Schizosaccharomyces pombe: one gene and its partners. Each later gene encodes a partner of the first gene's protein in a complex. Each region holds a gene or a part of one and is shown on either strand. Other genes may lie near its edges.

Region 1 (6,008 bases):
GTTTCTTTGAATTTGGTAAGTCGATAGGAGATTTGACTTCTTTCTTTTTCTTATGAGTTTTGCTCTTCTTGGAAGACGCCATAGTTAACTTTAAAATATGAATTGCTTGAGCAGCAACTGCCAAACATTCGATAAGTAAGCGAAGTCCTTACTGTCATAGTTCTACAGCAGGAGTGATAACGAAGTGAGCGTTAAGTTGCTTTAGAAACACGTTTAATATCGGTTTCCTTCTACAATTGTATTTTGATTTAGTGTCTAAAAGTTTGAAATACCTTATTTCTAGTTAAACTGAGTTACGTTACAATGCACTTATACTCAGTATATGCCGATTATATTTATTATCAAAACTTCTAGCCTGAGAGGATGATGACAGTTCCAAAAAATGATCTCTGTTCAAGTATGTAATTTACCAATATTTGATACAGCCTAAAATTGAGAAGAGTTCCTCAGTTTTACTTAGCAGTTAATGAAGGTGAATAGTTTTCTAGGGTAAAGTTAAATCTTCTTCATAAGCACAAAAAATAATTAATGACCCAGCTAGAATGTGCAAATTACTTAGCTAATAACTAAATTACCTTAACTTGCGCTTGAATTGTTTAATTGTTGCAAATAATGGGTGTTGTAGATCAATGAAGTTATAGTTATTAACATTCAATTCGTTATAAAAAAGGTATACCGTCATTCTTCTTTTTAATTAGGCAATACTAATATACAAAGGATTTTGAATATGTAAGATAAAGCATTAGAATTGACTTTATTCATGATATCCATCGTCAATGAGCTTTTGAATATTATCGGCTTTATGAGGAAGCAAAGAAAGTGCATACACCACATGATCCCATTGACGTTGAGTTTTACACCGATCAAGACGAGCAGCCAGACGTTCGGCTAATTGCTTGGTATGTCTTTCTTTTTCAATAAAGGACGTCAAGAAACGAATGATACGCTTAAACTTAGCGTCGTCCTCATCCTGCTCCTCTGCACTTCTAGATAATACACTGAAGATATCAATAAAGTTATTATATACAGAATTATCCTTGGCTGCAAAATCAGTAAAAAACATTCGAGCAAGATCAGAAATTCGAGCATCTTCGTCTTCCAAAGAACGAGCCATAATACCCAGCTGGCCCTTTACTTTTATTTGACCAGCTAAAATCAAAAATGCTAGAGTCATAAAGCATGTCTTTTTGACAGAAGACTCTTCATCCATCAGTCTTCTATATAAGTATTCGGATATTTCATCAATAAAATGATTGAAACAAACAGTTAAATCTGCTAACCCGATTACTAAGTTGTTTCGAATAATCGGATTATCACATTTCTCCAGAATGGTTATTAACAATGGAAGATGTTCCATACAAAAATTGTTAGAAAGACACATAAATTTGGACAAAGTCAGAGAAGCAGCTAGTAAAAGGCTTTGATTATTGTGCGATTTATGATTTGAGCACAATTCTACTACCAATGGAGCAAATCTCGAAAGTAAAGAATTCTCACCATAGAGCAACTCCCTTTCACGAATAAATGTCATTGCTTCTGAAAAATCATCTTCACTTGTTCCCGTAATTAAATCATATTCAGAAGTTTCTTGCCCATTTATAGGATTATTTGAGTTCTGTACGGCCAATCTCTCGGCGTCCGCTTTTCGCCGTTTGAACTCTGCCTCACAATATTCGATATAGACTAATTGTTTAATCGCGACATGGCCTACTAAAAATATTAAGTGCGCCAGTCGTATACCTATTTCTTCCTCATCTTTTAATGTTTCTTCTTCTGGAGAATCATCTAAATCTTCGTCCATTGCATGATCATCGTTACTGGTAGTATTCTCATGATTGGAAGGTTTGAAGAGTTGTTTCGTCAAAAGCAAAATAATGTTGGTACAAAGTTCGTCAGGATGTTTGGCAACTGCATATATAGCCTCAATAGCTTGCTCTTCTAACCCAAACCACTCTTCAGAGAACGATGGTCGAAGTAAAAGCATACATAATTTTTGACAAAGCGTATGCGAATTTGGAAAATTAATATTAGAAGAACCAGACGCATCTTTGCCAATACGTTTAATCGCTATACATGTGTACCTTGCAAGAACTAAATCCTCCAAACCAGGGGGACCAAGTCCTATTTGAATAAGATGATCCAAGCCCTGCATGACAACATCGGTATTGCCTAATGCTAGCATTCCAATTACTATGATGGATCCTCTACGTTGTGTTCGAGATATATCCTTCTTTTGATAACTGTATACTTGCCATAGTTTTGTTATGACTAGATGTGAAAAATACCCATCTTTCATCAAAATGCAAAGCATCTGTTCAAGTGATGTAAGCTCAGCAAGGCTAGCATCATATGTTAATGAAATAAGATTTCTCGCAATATAGTTTGCGGCTTCGTTGGTACCAGAGTTCGGAGGTGGCTCAAAAAATAATGTTTTATAACATGACAATACATGGTTCTGAATGTTGTTCCCTTCGTCGGAGGTTCCTTTTACCCAAATTAAATGAATCATTTTTTTTATATATAATTTTGAAGACGAAATTCCAAAAGAATTGCAAAAAACAAAGAAATCCATTGACTCAATTACCTCGCTCTTATTTTTAGCAAACAACAACTGGCTTATTATTTTTGCTCCCGCTTCCACAATGTCTATATATTGGAGTGCTTCTAAATAAAACCGTTTCGTTAAATTCACTTTGACTATTTCCTCAGCAGGAACAGAATCGACATATTCGCTTAGAGAATTTTCCAAGTGACTTTCTCCTTCATGTGACTCATCATCTTGGATCATAGTAGCATCCTCTAATAAGTTTTCATCGACTTCAAGCTCTGAATCTACCACCTTTTCTTGTTGCTTTGGTTGTAAAGAATTAAGCTGTTCCTCGATGATAGATAATCCTTTCTCCCAAATATTTCTGGTTAGTAAGCCATTGTGCATAACTGAAAAAGGATGGGTAGTTAAAAGTTTAGAAAATAACTTAATTGCATTTCGGCGGACATGACTTGACCGATCTTGCAAACATCTGATCACGAGTTCCGCGATTTCTTGACGTTTTCTGGGATACTTAATTGGTAAATCAAATATTTTGATAAAGACGTGAAGTACTTTAGTACGACAGTAAGGGCTTATATCTAGTAATCGCTCACTGAGAAGATCCATTAAGCTTTGAACAGTTGCTGGCACTGACTCTGACATTTCATTTTGAGCCTCATCATGAATTTGATCAATGACCACATTAGCAAGTACTTCTATGATAGCGCATCTCAGAGTATATGATTCCGAATCAAGCAGCTTAACTAATTGAGTAAGCTGTTTCAAACATAAGTTTGGAATAAGTGAAGAAAGACGGACAAGAAACAAAGCGACTTGCTTGGGACCTTTAACATCGTTATCATTAAATTCTAGAGAGCACAATGTTCGAATAATTCCTTCAGCCAAGGTAACGGAATTAAACTGAACGGTAACAATATGAACAAGATCAGCAGCATACTCAGATAAATGCTCAAAGTATTGTAAATTTTGAATAATATTTGTCTCCGCTGCAGTGGTATGGTTATGGAATTGAACAGCAAGCCCGATAATATTAAATAAACGAGAACGGAAAGAAGCATTTTTTATGTTAATTTCACTTTCCATTAACGTGTATATTGGTTTTAGGAAAAGTGAAAGAAACATGTCTCTTTCCGAAGAAGTAGTCCATACACGAGATAATTTTTTTTGAAATAATGTTATGATTGCATCTAACAAAGCATTTACATGTGAGATACCATTCCAGTTAGAGTTAGTAGTTGGATTTTTTTTTCTTCCCTTAACAGTATTAGTGGATGACCGAATAACTGAAAGTTGATTTGAGGAAGAAAGGGAATTGACCGTGAGCTGAAATGCAATGCCTGTAGTTTCTAAATTCGTTTGAGGTACAGTAAAATCAGTAGCATTTGCGGAAATCATATCTTCAAGAATAGCGGATTCAGAGCTGATATTACTCGTGAGTAAATCATATACTTTATTCCTTACAGAGGAAGAGAGGTCAGCAAAGTGTCTAAACCATTATTGTTAGTTTGGTAAAATTGATATATAGTAAACCAAATGGCTTCCTTCTATTTGAATAACACAAAATAACAACTACTTACGAACATATAGCAAAGAGTTTTTCCAAGCAATCCTCGTCGAAACAAGAACTCGTTCCTAATAAAAGGGTATCAATGACGTCTAATTTTTCATTGTTAGTTATTGTGGAATCGATCATTTTCAATTTTTTTAAAAACCCAAATGTCCATACCGTTAACCACGGCTGTCAATCCAGCATTTTCACATTCAGCATAAATCGAGTCCAAGTCGGAATTTTCTTCATCATGAATGTATTTCTTTAATCTAGAAAGAAGATCCAACGACATTGAGGCCACTGAAAGCCGAATCTTTCTATGTTACGAATGAAATAAAAGATGGATTTGGCGTACTACATTCTAGTAGTCCTTGTAAACAATAACCCCACCTATATGTCCTGTGTGGGGGTCCATTTATACTTTCTTACTAACAAAAAAGAGCTACGGTTAGTCAAAATATAAAATAGGAGCTAGACTTAATTGTTGCTAACCACTTTAAGGATATAGAACGTGCTTTTATTAACTCATTTGTTTACATTAAAAAATAATATTTTAATTAACTTTTATTGAGCGTGCCACGTAAAAGCTATTGTTCTTTTTAGTACTTCTAATTAAATGTTTTGAAAAGAATTTAATATATTTTTTGAATAACGTTAGTTGTAAATTCTTTCTTGAGCTGTATTTCTGATATAAAAACTTATAATTTATTTTGGCGCATGTATCATTTTCAAGGTGATTTTCAAAATTATTATGAATGCAAATTTTGACGAGGTAAGCATTTGTGCTGTTTTTAGAATTTTAAAGTAATACACAATAAACTAAACAGAAAACCTATCGTAGTTTAACTAGGAATAAATTTCAAATTCAGGATAATTTTTTTATTTATTTTTAAATAACAGAAAAAAAAAACGTGTTTGAATACCATGGTTAATCATATTTACTCTCAATGTCCAATAAATAGTCAATTCTAGTTGTTTATGGTGGTTATTAACAATAACAAGAGCCCAAAGGATTTATGTTTTTTAAAGCAAGTCCTAAATTTAAAAAAAGATAAAGGACATGAAATCTTAATCTTTTCCATAAGTATACAAATATTATAGCAGAGTACTTTTTTTATTAAACAAAAGTTGGATTAAAAATGTATTTTTCTTGTTTGGAAGTAACAATGTCCCTCATTAGAAGAGCATTTTGCTTAACAATGTACAACTGGTGTTGAACCTGGAATCTGCAAATTCTTATATTCATGGAATGAGTTTGTGTTACACATTTTAAAAACTTGATTTTTTTGAATCTTAGTATTCGTTCGCGTGTTCGGTTTGAAGGTTTAAAATACGTGAAAATTTGTTTTTTCTTGGTTCCTTCCCTTGGCAGCATTTTACCATTTAATTGACGACTCTTTTAATTTTTTTTAAGTTATTATTTGGTTTAAAAATATATGAGTTAAACCGTTAACATGGCAGAGGCCCATATCACACTATCACCTAAAGTAACTCATGAACAACAAACAGATATTGATTCTGAATGTGAAATCACTGAGGTGGACGATGAAAATGTAAACGAAAACAAATCTCAAGAAATGATTCAAGATATCCCTGCACGAGACCGCGAAGAAATTGAAAATATCACAAGGACGTTCGTAGAGCTACAAGAGAACTATCGGCTAATTGAAAAAATTGGAGAAGGTAAACTTCAATTACCGTTTTTAGTACTGTTTTGAAACTATCTTGCTAATTCGTTTAGGTACGTTCTCCAGTGTATATAAAGCGGAAGACCTACATTATGGGAGGTATATTAATGATTGGGACATTCAAAGTGAAGTGTTAAAGGAATCTTCTTTTGGAAAAGAAAAAATTCCTGTTAATGAAGACAGCCGGAAACCGAAGTACGTTGCTATAAAAAAAATTTAC
Region 2 (5,027 bases), on another chromosome or scaffold:
TAGGGAAAGGATAAATTCTACTTTTCCTGGATGTTGACAAAGTATTCTAAGCCATTGATTGTTACCCACTGTAAAGTACATTGAGAAAGCAACGCTAAATAGATATTGTGCAACAGAAAAAATTGTAATAATTGTATTGCATAACTCATTTTATTTAAATTATGAATCACTATCGTATATAGCGTAATTTTGCTTTAAACGCTATTTCAAATCTATGGTAAAACTAGATGAACTAACGTTGCTGCGAAAGTTCATAGATTGCTTATAAACCTATTTCTTTAACTAAAAGGATGTATTTTAACTTTATTTTACTGAGCCAAAGTCCATTCGTTGACGGTGTTGAAATTATTCTACAGCTTGGTCATTGACAAATTTCATTTTCTCTGATAATTCATTTAATAATTTGTATCAAAAAAAAATAGATTCTTGAGAAAGATTAACATAAAAGATAAAATTACCCTACATTTCTGTACTCAAATCGATATGTTCTAACTTTGAAAGGGTTTCACAATATATGAATAACCGTATATTGGTACAATTTAATCCTATTATAGGTAAAAAACCTCACATAGAGACAATAAATAATTATTATTTTTTGTTATATTGTCGAGAATAGAAGCATGTAATGAATGCAATATCTCGTTATTTCCAAAGAGTCAACTGCTAAGTGAGTTCCAACAGAATTAACAGGCAGAAGCAAGATACTGATGTCTTCAACGATCACAAGATAAAAGGAAGGTGTATTTTTTACAAAAAATTTCGCTGTCAGCTTGCTCCACAAAATGCAATTTGCACTCTTCATTTTTCACAACTCTTCAATGTCAAAAAGTAGTAACAGCCTAAAAATACGAGCTAGTGTTTTTATTATTCAAGGTAGATCAAAAAGAGTATAATTTCCGGCTATCTTGAAAATGATTCACGCTAGCTAAAAGTATGCGATGATGACTAATTAATGATGACCTGCATCATTTCGATTCTACACACTTTAAACATCATTTTCTAATGCTTCTAGCGTCGTCAAGTTAGGACCTGGCCTAATAAAAACATCTGAAAAATCTTCGTTGCTTGTAAGCTCTAAATTATGTTCATTCGCCAAATGTAAAACACAAATAAAGGCAAAACTGGTGGATATATCTTTGAGTTCTTTTTTCTCGTATGTCTCCTCTAATTGATTGACAGTGGAAAAAAAAGATTTGACTGGCATGTTGGTTTCTTCTGACTCCATCTCCGAACCCTCAATATGAGAGTTGATGGAATTTTCTTTAATTGTGTTTTCAAGATCTAGACATTTCCATAGCTTTTCTTTCAGTACTCGCACATCAACCTTTTTAGCACGCTTCGCATAATTCAGCATATCTGGTTTTGCCAAACGAGCAGTTAACAAAAGGTTATCACCAAATCCTGATGATGATGGAGGTGTAAGCAGAGGTGTTTGCTTAGGGCTATCGGAATCTCCAAATCCATACGGGGGTATTCCTTCATCAACATTATCACTGCCATCAGAATCGAATCCATGGGGTTGAATACCGTCCAAATCATTCTCATCATCTAAGGCTTTATTCAGTTGTAGCTGTCCTTCTCCATCAGCGTTGGGTAGAACTGACATCTTTGGTTTCAAGAAAAGCTGTAAAAGCCTCTTAGAATCATATTGGTAGTCATCAGGTAGTAAACATCGATTATGTCTTTTCCAATGAGACTTGGGAAGCTTGAGACTGCTGGTTGCAGGAGTGAACAGTGCTTCGACGTCTACTTCCTGCAAGAAATCAATGGCGTTATCAAGTTCTCGACGCTTTTTCCGTTCCGTGGAAGAAAGAGAACGCGATACATTATCTGAACTTTCAGCCGTATTGGAAGAGTTGAATACAGTTGATGCGTTATTGATATTTTTTCTCAATGCCTGAATGCGCCAATGTTCGGGTCCAGCCCAGTTCTTTTTCATTGACTTGTCAAAATATTCGTATACTCCATTCGCAGCGGCAGTAGAAATAATAGAATAATTTTCATTCATAGTACTTCCATCAGCCATATTGACTTCAGTATCCACACCAAAATCTGGATTTTCGGATTCGTCCATTGCTTTTGGTACTACATCAACATATGGGTTCTCCTCATCGTAAGCCATTTCCTCCAAAGCATGCACAATATGTCCTTCTTCACCATCGGAATCGGAAGAAAGGGAAGCTGCATCAGCATCAGTTTTCTCCATCGTATTATCCACTAAGGAGGTTGTCGTTATCATGTTAACTTCATCACTTAATGATTTTAAGAGAGAGACATCAAGATTCCCTTTACTATCAAATTCAAAGCCCTGTAAGGAGGGACATATTGTCAACTGATCAATATCGGTAAAATAGCATTTGTAAATACCATTCAAGGTCTCCCTAGAAATATTGTCATGCACATTAGTCATTTCTGTGTCATGGCTTTCGATAGGCGCTGCGACTACCGCTTCCTGCGATTCAGCTTCAACATCTTTATTTTCCAAATCCTTGATGACAGTATCGCTAGAATCGAATACAATTCGTCCATGTTGATCAACACAAAGATGATTCATTAATAAGCCTTTAGCACCATCCTCATCAAAATCTGCACACATTTTCTTGAATAAAGGATCAAAAGAACATTCTAACTCAAATTTTTTAGCGCGTATTGACTCGAAATCTTTAACGAGAGTCTTTACCGAACGTTGTGCACGCTTTCTCTCTTTCTTTTTCTGTAGATCCTCATCATCATTTTCAGCATCTTCGCCTTCTTCCGTTTGCTGCAATACTTTGGAATCGTTTGCCAATCCACTGAGTAGCTTGCCGGTCTCAGTAGCAACAGAATCAATACGCGAAGTATAAATTTTCACGCATCCGTCTAATGTACAGCTTGCCTTTTGGAAATTTATATCTTCACCATCACGTAGAAGCGACATGTCGTGAAAATAGTCAATAAGCGCAAAATTCCAGGTATTTGTGGAATTAATTTTGTTGTCAGTAGCTAATTTAATCCATTCCTCAAAATTAGAAAGAACAGGAACCTGATGAGAGCTATTAAATGGTGAAGAATTGTTTAGAGATTCTCTTCTTGGCGTTATTGAGTGCAGAGCTGAACTTCTTCGCAACTCGCGCTGCTTACGGCTGTTCTCTTTAGCTCTTTTTTTTTCTAATGCATCGTCATTTAAGGAGGGTAAGCTAACGGGCGCATGCCCGCCTAAACTAGCTCTTTTCATTGATTTAAGTAAATGTTTATGTTCACAAGTGGTAAGTCGGTGTGCCTATACGTATATCGCGCTTTAACGATATGCCGTATATTTCTTTCTAATCAACAAATGATAAAGATTCAAATAAGTTTCTAAATAAATGCCAATATGATAACATTATTTTTCTTTTGAAATTTGTTTTCAAATAATATAGTATTTCCCAATTTACTTCATTGATGGCTTCCCGATTACAAAGTCAAAAGTCTTTTGTTTATTATTCTGTTACAAATTTTGTGAAGTTTCAATTATTATAAATCTTCCATATAAAATTAACAAGGTAATACCAAATCAAGTTTGGATCCTAAAATTCAGTAGCTATCAAGTTTTAAGAGAATTTTATTTTTCGTTTTCGTTTATTTAAACTTGAACTTCGTAGTATTGTGGAGCAAATGGATATATCTAAGACAGTATATCTCTTAACATTTTACTTCTAAATCACTCCTGAATGCAATCCACTGAATGGTATGCGCATTTATCCTGACTCTCAAAATATTCAACCAATATCAAATGCAGACGATGTAAGACAGAAAATTGATTCTATTCTATATTAAAAAATAAAAAGCATTAGTGTACCATCAGATATAATGCGTGCTTTTTAAACGAACTATTATAATTGTACAGCTGCCCATATATTCATGTACCATCAATTCTCCAAGAGCATCATTGTCTAGTTTAAATAGCCACGACATGTTGGAGCACCACACAAACAAGGAATCTTATCAGCTTCTTCCGGAAACTTGTAATCATAAGTAAGTTCCTCTCCATGCATAATATCCCTGTCAGCATAAATTACGATTTTTCTTTTCCCTTCAACTCTAATAATCCTAGCTATACAATTAGGAGCGCATGAATGATTGATGAAACGCGCGATATTTCCCTTTTTTGTAGCATCAACGATAACATCCTCGTCAATACGGAACAAATAACTGTCTCCAATACCTTCACGAACGTAGTTCTTTTCACGATTATCAGCCACCCGTTGTCGAATGATTTCTCCAATATACTCTATGACCATATCATTTTTATCAATGTTTTCCATGGCAAAAAGCCCTAATGTATGAATGCGACTAGGGCCAAAATGTAATTGCTTTTTACGAGCCTTTAGTGCATTGAATCTGAGCAAGTCAGCTTCGGCTGGCAATTGAGACTTTTCAACTCCAGCAGCCAATCTTCTATTGTTAACACGATTCATTCGTGATGTGATACGGCTTGTAGAATGACTAATAGTATCGATGGTTGATCGATTACGAAGTGGTAGATATAGTGATTTTTCGGTAGTTGGAATAATATAGTATCCCTCACTTTTAGCAGAACCGCTAGTATTAGAGCGAAAATAACCTTTAGGTTCTGGAAGAATAGCCGTATCTCCATACTTAACATCCCCATTCTTAAATTTACATGACTTGCGTTCATAAGCCCAGAAATTGGGATCGTTGATATCCATGAGGGGTTCATCCTTGAGTGCCTCTTGAAGATATGAGTAATCTTCGTCATTTTTTACCAAGTACTGTAGACCATCCAAGTCAAGAAGTACATCGTCTTCTGGATAATTGTAAGGAAGTGCACCATAATAAACGCTTCCAGTTTCATCAAACTCATTAATACGCCATTTGGGAGCTAAAGCTAAAACTTCATCAATCTCTTTCTTAGGCGATATGAGTTCATCTTTTATGGCGCTACCTGATTTTGGAATCGCAGCACTAGGAGAAAGTATTGATGCATCTGATTCGGTTTCGCTGGACGAAGTATAGTCAACTTCCATCTTTTCATATTTTTTCTTTGA
Region 3 (6,047 bases), 320 kb from region 1:
TAGCATATCATCCCAATCATTGCGAGAAACAGCTTTTAGTCCCAAGTTAGCCTTTTCACCCGCACTTAAATTGGTTTTTATAGGAGCCGAAAACCATAGTTCCAGCAATTTTTCAGGACCTTCAAATGAGGAGGTGTTAAATTCTTCCGAATTCTCTTGATCAACAACAAGGGTAGGAGACATTTTAGAATATAGTCATACAAAGAACTTCCAATGCTATATGTGCGCTGTGAGTGTAATTCCCAAAACACGTACTAGCTAGTTGCTCCAGTTACACTTTTAGGATATTTATTAGCAAAAAAGCATACAAATAATAACTTAATTGCGGCTGTCGCACCAATTTTATATGATGTTGAGGCTAAATACATAACCACAGAAACATCCTGTATCGATCAAAATTTTAAAACCCTACCCTAAATATTTTTGAATATGCTACAAATGACATCGACGCTAATAATAAATTTGGAAATGATGAGTTTACGATATTTTATACATATGATACATACCGTAGTCTAAGTTTCATTAGCGGCACAAACAACTTTAAAGAACCAAAAGTCTTGTTTTTAATGATTGGTAGAAATATTCTTTAAATAAATTAAGACATCGGTGATAGTAAATAGTAGGACTATACATGCGCGTATAATTCAAGTGTTTACGTTCAAATTAGCGAGCTTGTACCACAGATGATCCGTCCATAAATCGTACATGAAATAGTCGATTAGCATTGGTAAACATTCCTTCTTTAAGGCTAACAATAATAAACTGAGAACCTTTAAACTTTGTTTTAATAAGTCTTCCAATGTTTTGGGTATGACTTAAATCGAGCGCCGCGTCAATTTCATCTAAAATGTACATTGGAGCAGGCTTATATTTAAGTAGAGACATAATAAGAGCCAATGCAACTAGAGACCTTTGTCCACCACTAAGTTCTGCCAGACTATCTTTCCAAATTGACCCAATTTTTACATGAATTTCCAATCCATCAGTGAATTCTTTATTCTCTGGTGGCTGTAGTTCTGCACTATTACCAGGAAGTAGTTCGTCAAAAATTTCACCGAAAGAAGAATTGACTTCTCTCCAGGTTTTTTCTAAGGCACTCCTTTTAAACCGATCAATACTTTTGACAGTATCTTGGATCTTTTTCTTATCGCGATGAATGGTCTTTATCATAGAGCGCAATTTGGCTTCTTTCTTTTCTACACCGTCAATCATGTCCATAACCTTGGGATTAATAGCTTTACGCATACTAGCAAATCGCGGTTTCAAATTATGTAACTGCTCTCTACACTGACGCATGTTTTGAGAGTGAAAATCGAAAATGGTTCCTTGCTTACCAAAGTGCTGTTTCTGTCCATCTATCCAATCATTTTCCTTTTCCAAATGATTAATAGCAGTTATAGCAACTGATTTTTCTCGCTCTAATCGGTCAAACTCGTGGTTCAGCTTTTGAATTGTTAGCTCCCCATTGTTTATTTCAGATTCGAATGTTTTCATTGAGGTACTGAGTGAATCTATCTCTTTGTTAAGTCCAGAAAACTTGGCGCTTTCAATTTCTATTAGTTCGGTGAGTTTCTTTCGATTATGCTCCTCATTAACAAGTGACAGCTCAAGTTCTGCAATTTCCGTCTTTATTAAACTCGTGGTCGATTCACCTTGTACGAGAGATTGCTGATGGTTTTGCAATTCGCCTTCTAATTGTTCACATTCGAGTTTAACGCCATTATAGTCATTCTCGGACTTTTCCAATATAGGAGTAAACTCGTCTAACTTGTGCTTGTATTGATTAAACTCCTTTTCCAATTCAGCCATTTTTGATCCCTTGTTATGTTTCCATTCTTGCATGTCTCGTTCAATTTTTTTTATAGCTTGGTCACTTTGCAATATAAGTCTGTCTAATTCAGGAAGCCTTTGCTTGAGATCTTTAACGTCGTCTTTGTACTGCTGATAATCAGATAAAAGACGAAAAGATGAGTCGGTCTCTCTTTGCTCTATCAAAAGTGTTAATTCATGTTGCTTTAGTTGAATTTCTTGCTCAAGTCGATGAAAATTGGCATTTTGAGTCTTTAAGTCTTTAAGTTGAGTCTCCAACTTTTCATATTCTGAAGTAACTACTTGCAATTTTAGCTGCAGACTGTTCAGCTTTTGTATCTGTAGTAAAGGACCGGCAGATTTATTCACAGACCCACCAGTAAGGGTACCAGATGGGTCATAAACATCACCATCAAGCGTGACACTTTTTAATTTAACTGAAGGATGAAAGGTAACTTTCTTTGCCGATTCAGGGGTATCACAGACTAATGTGGAGCCAAAAACATACTGCATTGCAGGCAAAAGCTCATCGTCATAACCGATTAATTCCAAAGCAAGTTGGGCTTTATTATTAGAAATTTTTTTGGCTGCGCCTACTCTCTCTGCTGAAGCTACGAAGCTGGTAATTTTGTTGAGGGGAATAATAGTAACTCTCCTCTTCAGGTTTCCTTTTTGAAGCAATTGTGCACCAATTTTCTCGGTTTCAACAATGAGATTATAAAGGCGGCCACCAGCTGTAATTTCTAATGCAGTTTGCTTGTCATAATTCTCTTCATTCAAGGTTAGCAATTGAGCCACCAATCCTTTCACCTTTGAGCGATCAAAATTAGGAGTAGGGTCGGTATAAGTAAATTCCATATAAGCAAGTTTGCTTTTTAAAGCATCAAGTTCATTTAACAAATTGCCGCGATCTTTAGCAAGTTGCTTCAACTTTTGCTGGAGTACATCTTCACCTGTAATGTCGGAATTTGTATTTTTTAAAGACATTTTAAGCTTCTCAACATGGTTTTGTAATATATCGATTTCGCGATTGAGTTGATCACATCGTTTTGTAGCCTCAGCCTTCTTAGGTTTAGTTAAAGATATTTGTTTATTGAGTCCTTCAAGCTTTAATCGATTGGTTTCTTTTTCAGCTTTAAAGTCATTCAACGTATCTCGAGCTTCGTGTAGTTTTCTAGAATAGCCAGTTTCATGACCTTCTGTAGTGGAAAGACCAGTTGTAAGTGATGAAATTAGCTCTTCTTGAGACTTGAAATCCTTTGAAATACTTTGATGTTCATCTTTCCTTTTTTCGTATACACTAAGCACTTCATCTAGTCGTTTCCTTTTTCCGCGCAACAAAGTTTCTAATTCCTTAGCTTTTCCACGAATTTGTTGAAGGTCCCCATGCTCTTCCTCTAAAGCTGTATTCTTTAATTCTATCGACGTGCTTATTCTGGTGATGTTTTCATTAACAGTTTGTAACTGAGAGTCCAAGGTACGATCCGAAGAAACACTCATTTGTCTCATTCGCTCATCTTCAATTTTTTTAATCTTTTCCTTTAGTATTAAAACCTCCTGTTTCGATGTTTGTAATGAAGATTCCATCTCGGCGATATGGCTGTGCTTCTGGGATGCTTGAACCGTTAATTCCTCCACTTTAAGTGACAACTTATAATAGTCGTAAGCAGTACAAAGATGGCTTAATCGTTCCAAGTCATTATAAATATGTTGATATTCTAGAAAAGTTTTTTTTTCTGTACGAAGTTTGGTAAGTCGGGGTTCGATTTCCTCTCTTAACAGTGTATTAATCTCCTCAACCTTTGCTTCTTTTCGTTGCATTGTTCGAAAAGCCTTTTCTTTCCTTTCTTCAAACATTCGAGTACCAGAGGCTTCTTCAATCATTGATAAAATTTCAGTAGCCTTCATATTAAGAACCTTGGTGATTCGACCTTGCATAATTAAAAAATTAGGATTATTAATATTTAACTGAACAGACTGGAACAAATTTTGAACATTCTGTTGCAGAGCTCTATGTCCATTAATCAAATATTTGCTTGTACCGCCCATGATAATTTGTCTTGTAACGCTTACTTGCGGGTGATTCTCGAAACCAATTGGTGAAGACGCAGGATCCCGATTATTAAACACAATGGTAACGCTAGCTCTGGTTATTCCTGCCTGTCCGCGTTTGTAAATTAAGTCCTGTAAATTCTGGGCACGGACAGTCGACATATTCGTAATTCCCAAGACAAAGCATATTGCATCTAATATATTACTTTTTCCAGACCCATTGAGGCCCGTTATAGCATTAAATTGGTCATCCCAATTGCTAATGACAGTTCGCACAGCATATGATTTGAAACCATCAATGATGAGTTCCTCTATTTTCATTTCTTCAGTAAATTTCTCGTTCTGTTTGTTTACTGAAGCCCAAGTATTTAAGACTAGAATTCAAAAAACTGATTGACTTGTAAAGTATTTCCTAGAGGGAGATAAATCTTCAGCAGTACATTTCAGTCCGAACTGTTTGCTGTTTAGTGTAAAAATGATTAAAGCTGTTTGTCGTTTAAAGCATTAAAGGTGAAATAAGACTTCATAGTAGATATAAAAGAGTGCGACTACTCTAATAACATTTACCGCAACGTTAAACTACGTAATGATGCTTAGTATGCAAAAAGCTTACCGCTATTAACATTTTAGATTTATTAGTTTATGTATTTTAATACTTTCAAGTAACTTGTTTAAATTCTTTTTAATTTAAAACATATATTTTATCTTTTCTGTTATTTAACTATATTTGATAATCAGTACTGCACTCACTACACAAATGGGGCAAGGTGAATCCATTCCCAGTCGGCAAATTCAAAGGGACGCAAGTATGCAGGCGGTTTCATCAGAAAGTGAAAACATTAATGATTCAGATCGACAAAATTCTGGCTTTAGTAGGCTGTGGAATCGTTTTCCCTCTTTGCAGCGAGTCTTAGGTCTTCGAAGAGCAAAGCGGCATCGTAACGATGAAGGCAATTCGGAAAATGGTAATCGTGATAGAACTACTGAAAGATCGGCTTTTCGTTCTCGCTACCGTGGTTCGCTTTTGAATAGGAATTCTCCTTCTCTAAGGTCGTTAAGTCCACCAGCTACACCAGCTACTCCTCGCTCTCGTATAGAAGGCGAATCACAAACATCTGCAATACCTCAAACAGACAGGTTAATCCTTGAAAATCACCAACAGGAATTTGAACGTGCTGCTAGAAGATTTCGTTCTAGTATTGCTGCTTTACGCAATTTAAATACCCAAAACAATCAGTCTACGTTGGCATCGAATCATGAAGATGAAAACGTCAGTTCGAGCGGTGGACAGGAAATGCAGGATCATGGCTCTGTAAATAATTTAGAATCTCCGGGAACTGCAATTGGAAGATTGCCGGTAAGATCTGTCACTTCTCTAGCGGACTCAAATATGGAGGACTATACTCGTGCGGTAATGAACTATATTAATAATAGTGAAAATACTCAACAAGCATCTGTTTCTCCAGAAGAAAGTCAACTAGTCATGCTTTCTCGATTTGTGTTTTCAGTAGCGTCTGGTTGGGTTAGTGTACTGATGAATTCTTCGAGTGCACATCAATCAAACAATTTAGAATTTCCTTCTTCAATTTCTGGAAATGTGGAATCTGGAAATGTTGCTTTCGATGAATTTTTATCGCTTTTGCACGCTGGTAATCTGGTGCAGGCGATGAACGCAGAAACTAATCCTAGGACTGCAGAACTAATTGCAAATGCTGTGGATCTTGAAGAAGAATCTGGTCCTATAAACCTTTTTCGAACTTTTAGATTTGACAATTTACACCGAAATCATGAAGGTCAAGAAGTAATCCCGATTATAATAGTTGGCATCCGAAGTCTAAGAAATTCAGGAAGTGATGAAGATGATCAACCAAGTGCCGATTCCCCAACTTTAATGCATCCTTCTGATTTGATATCTTCACTTGTTAACTCGCAAAATCAGACAACGTCCGTTAGTGATAATACGGGGCCAAATGAAAATGTTAATGAGGCAGAACATATTTCCGAAGACGAGCAAGCTTCTACTGCTACAGACGTAAATGGGATTTCCGATAATAATGGATCCTCCACTCAACAAGCACCTGAAACTAGAAATAATAATTCGCAAACGGACCACCAATTGCCCAGAAGCTGGGCCATATACGTTCGAGAAGCTTTTGTACCTCAAAATCATCCTGTTTTGAGAGCAC

The links. The genes of interacting proteins can lie anywhere in the genome.
Region 2: cnd1 (region 1) and cnd2 share a complex: the UniProt entries of both Schizosaccharomyces pombe proteins name them as parts of the condensin complex.
Region 3: cnd1 (region 1) and cut14 share a complex: the UniProt entries of both Schizosaccharomyces pombe proteins name them as parts of the condensin complex.

What each region holds. Positions count from the first base shown.
Region 1 is NC_003423.3:3,198,522-3,204,529, reverse strand, and holds cnd1 (condensin complex non-SMC subunit Cnd1), read right to left. Parts: upstream 4,443-6,008; 5' UTR 4,393-4,442; coding exon 4,278-4,392; exon of another isoform or gene 4,208-4,277; coding exon 4,129-4,207; exon of another isoform or gene 4,104-4,128; intron 4,038-4,103; coding exon 755-4,037; 3' UTR 544-754; downstream 1-543. Other genes in the region: phospholipid--diacylglycerol acyltransferase Plh1, read right to left, coding at 1-82; Dbf4(Dfp1)-dependent protein kinase Hsk1, read left to right, coding at 5,555-5,783, 5,842-6,008. UniProt on the Schizosaccharomyces pombe protein: Regulatory subunit of the condensin complex, a complex required for conversion of interphase chromatin into mitotic-like condense chromosomes.
Region 2 is NC_003421.2:408,854-413,880, forward strand, and holds cnd2 (condensin complex non-SMC subunit Cnd2), read right to left. Parts: upstream 3,239-5,027; 5' UTR 3,215-3,238; coding exon 986-3,214; 3' UTR 501-985; downstream 1-500. Other genes in the region: histone H3-K4 methyltransferase Set1, read right to left, coding at 3,912-5,027. UniProt on the Schizosaccharomyces pombe protein: Regulatory subunit of the condensin complex, a complex required for conversion of interphase chromatin into mitotic-like condense chromosomes.
Region 3 is NC_003423.3:2,877,187-2,883,233, forward strand, and holds cut14 (condensin complex SMC subunit Smc2), read right to left. Parts: upstream 4,183-6,047; coding exon 664-4,182; 3' UTR 501-663; downstream 1-500. Other genes in the region: S-adenosylmethionine decarboxylase proenzyme Spe2, read right to left, coding at 1-183; SPOM_SPBP4H10.07 (ubiquitin-protein ligase E3), read left to right, coding at 4,619-6,047. UniProt on the Schizosaccharomyces pombe protein: Central component of the condensin complex, a complex required for conversion of interphase chromatin into mitotic-like condense chromosomes.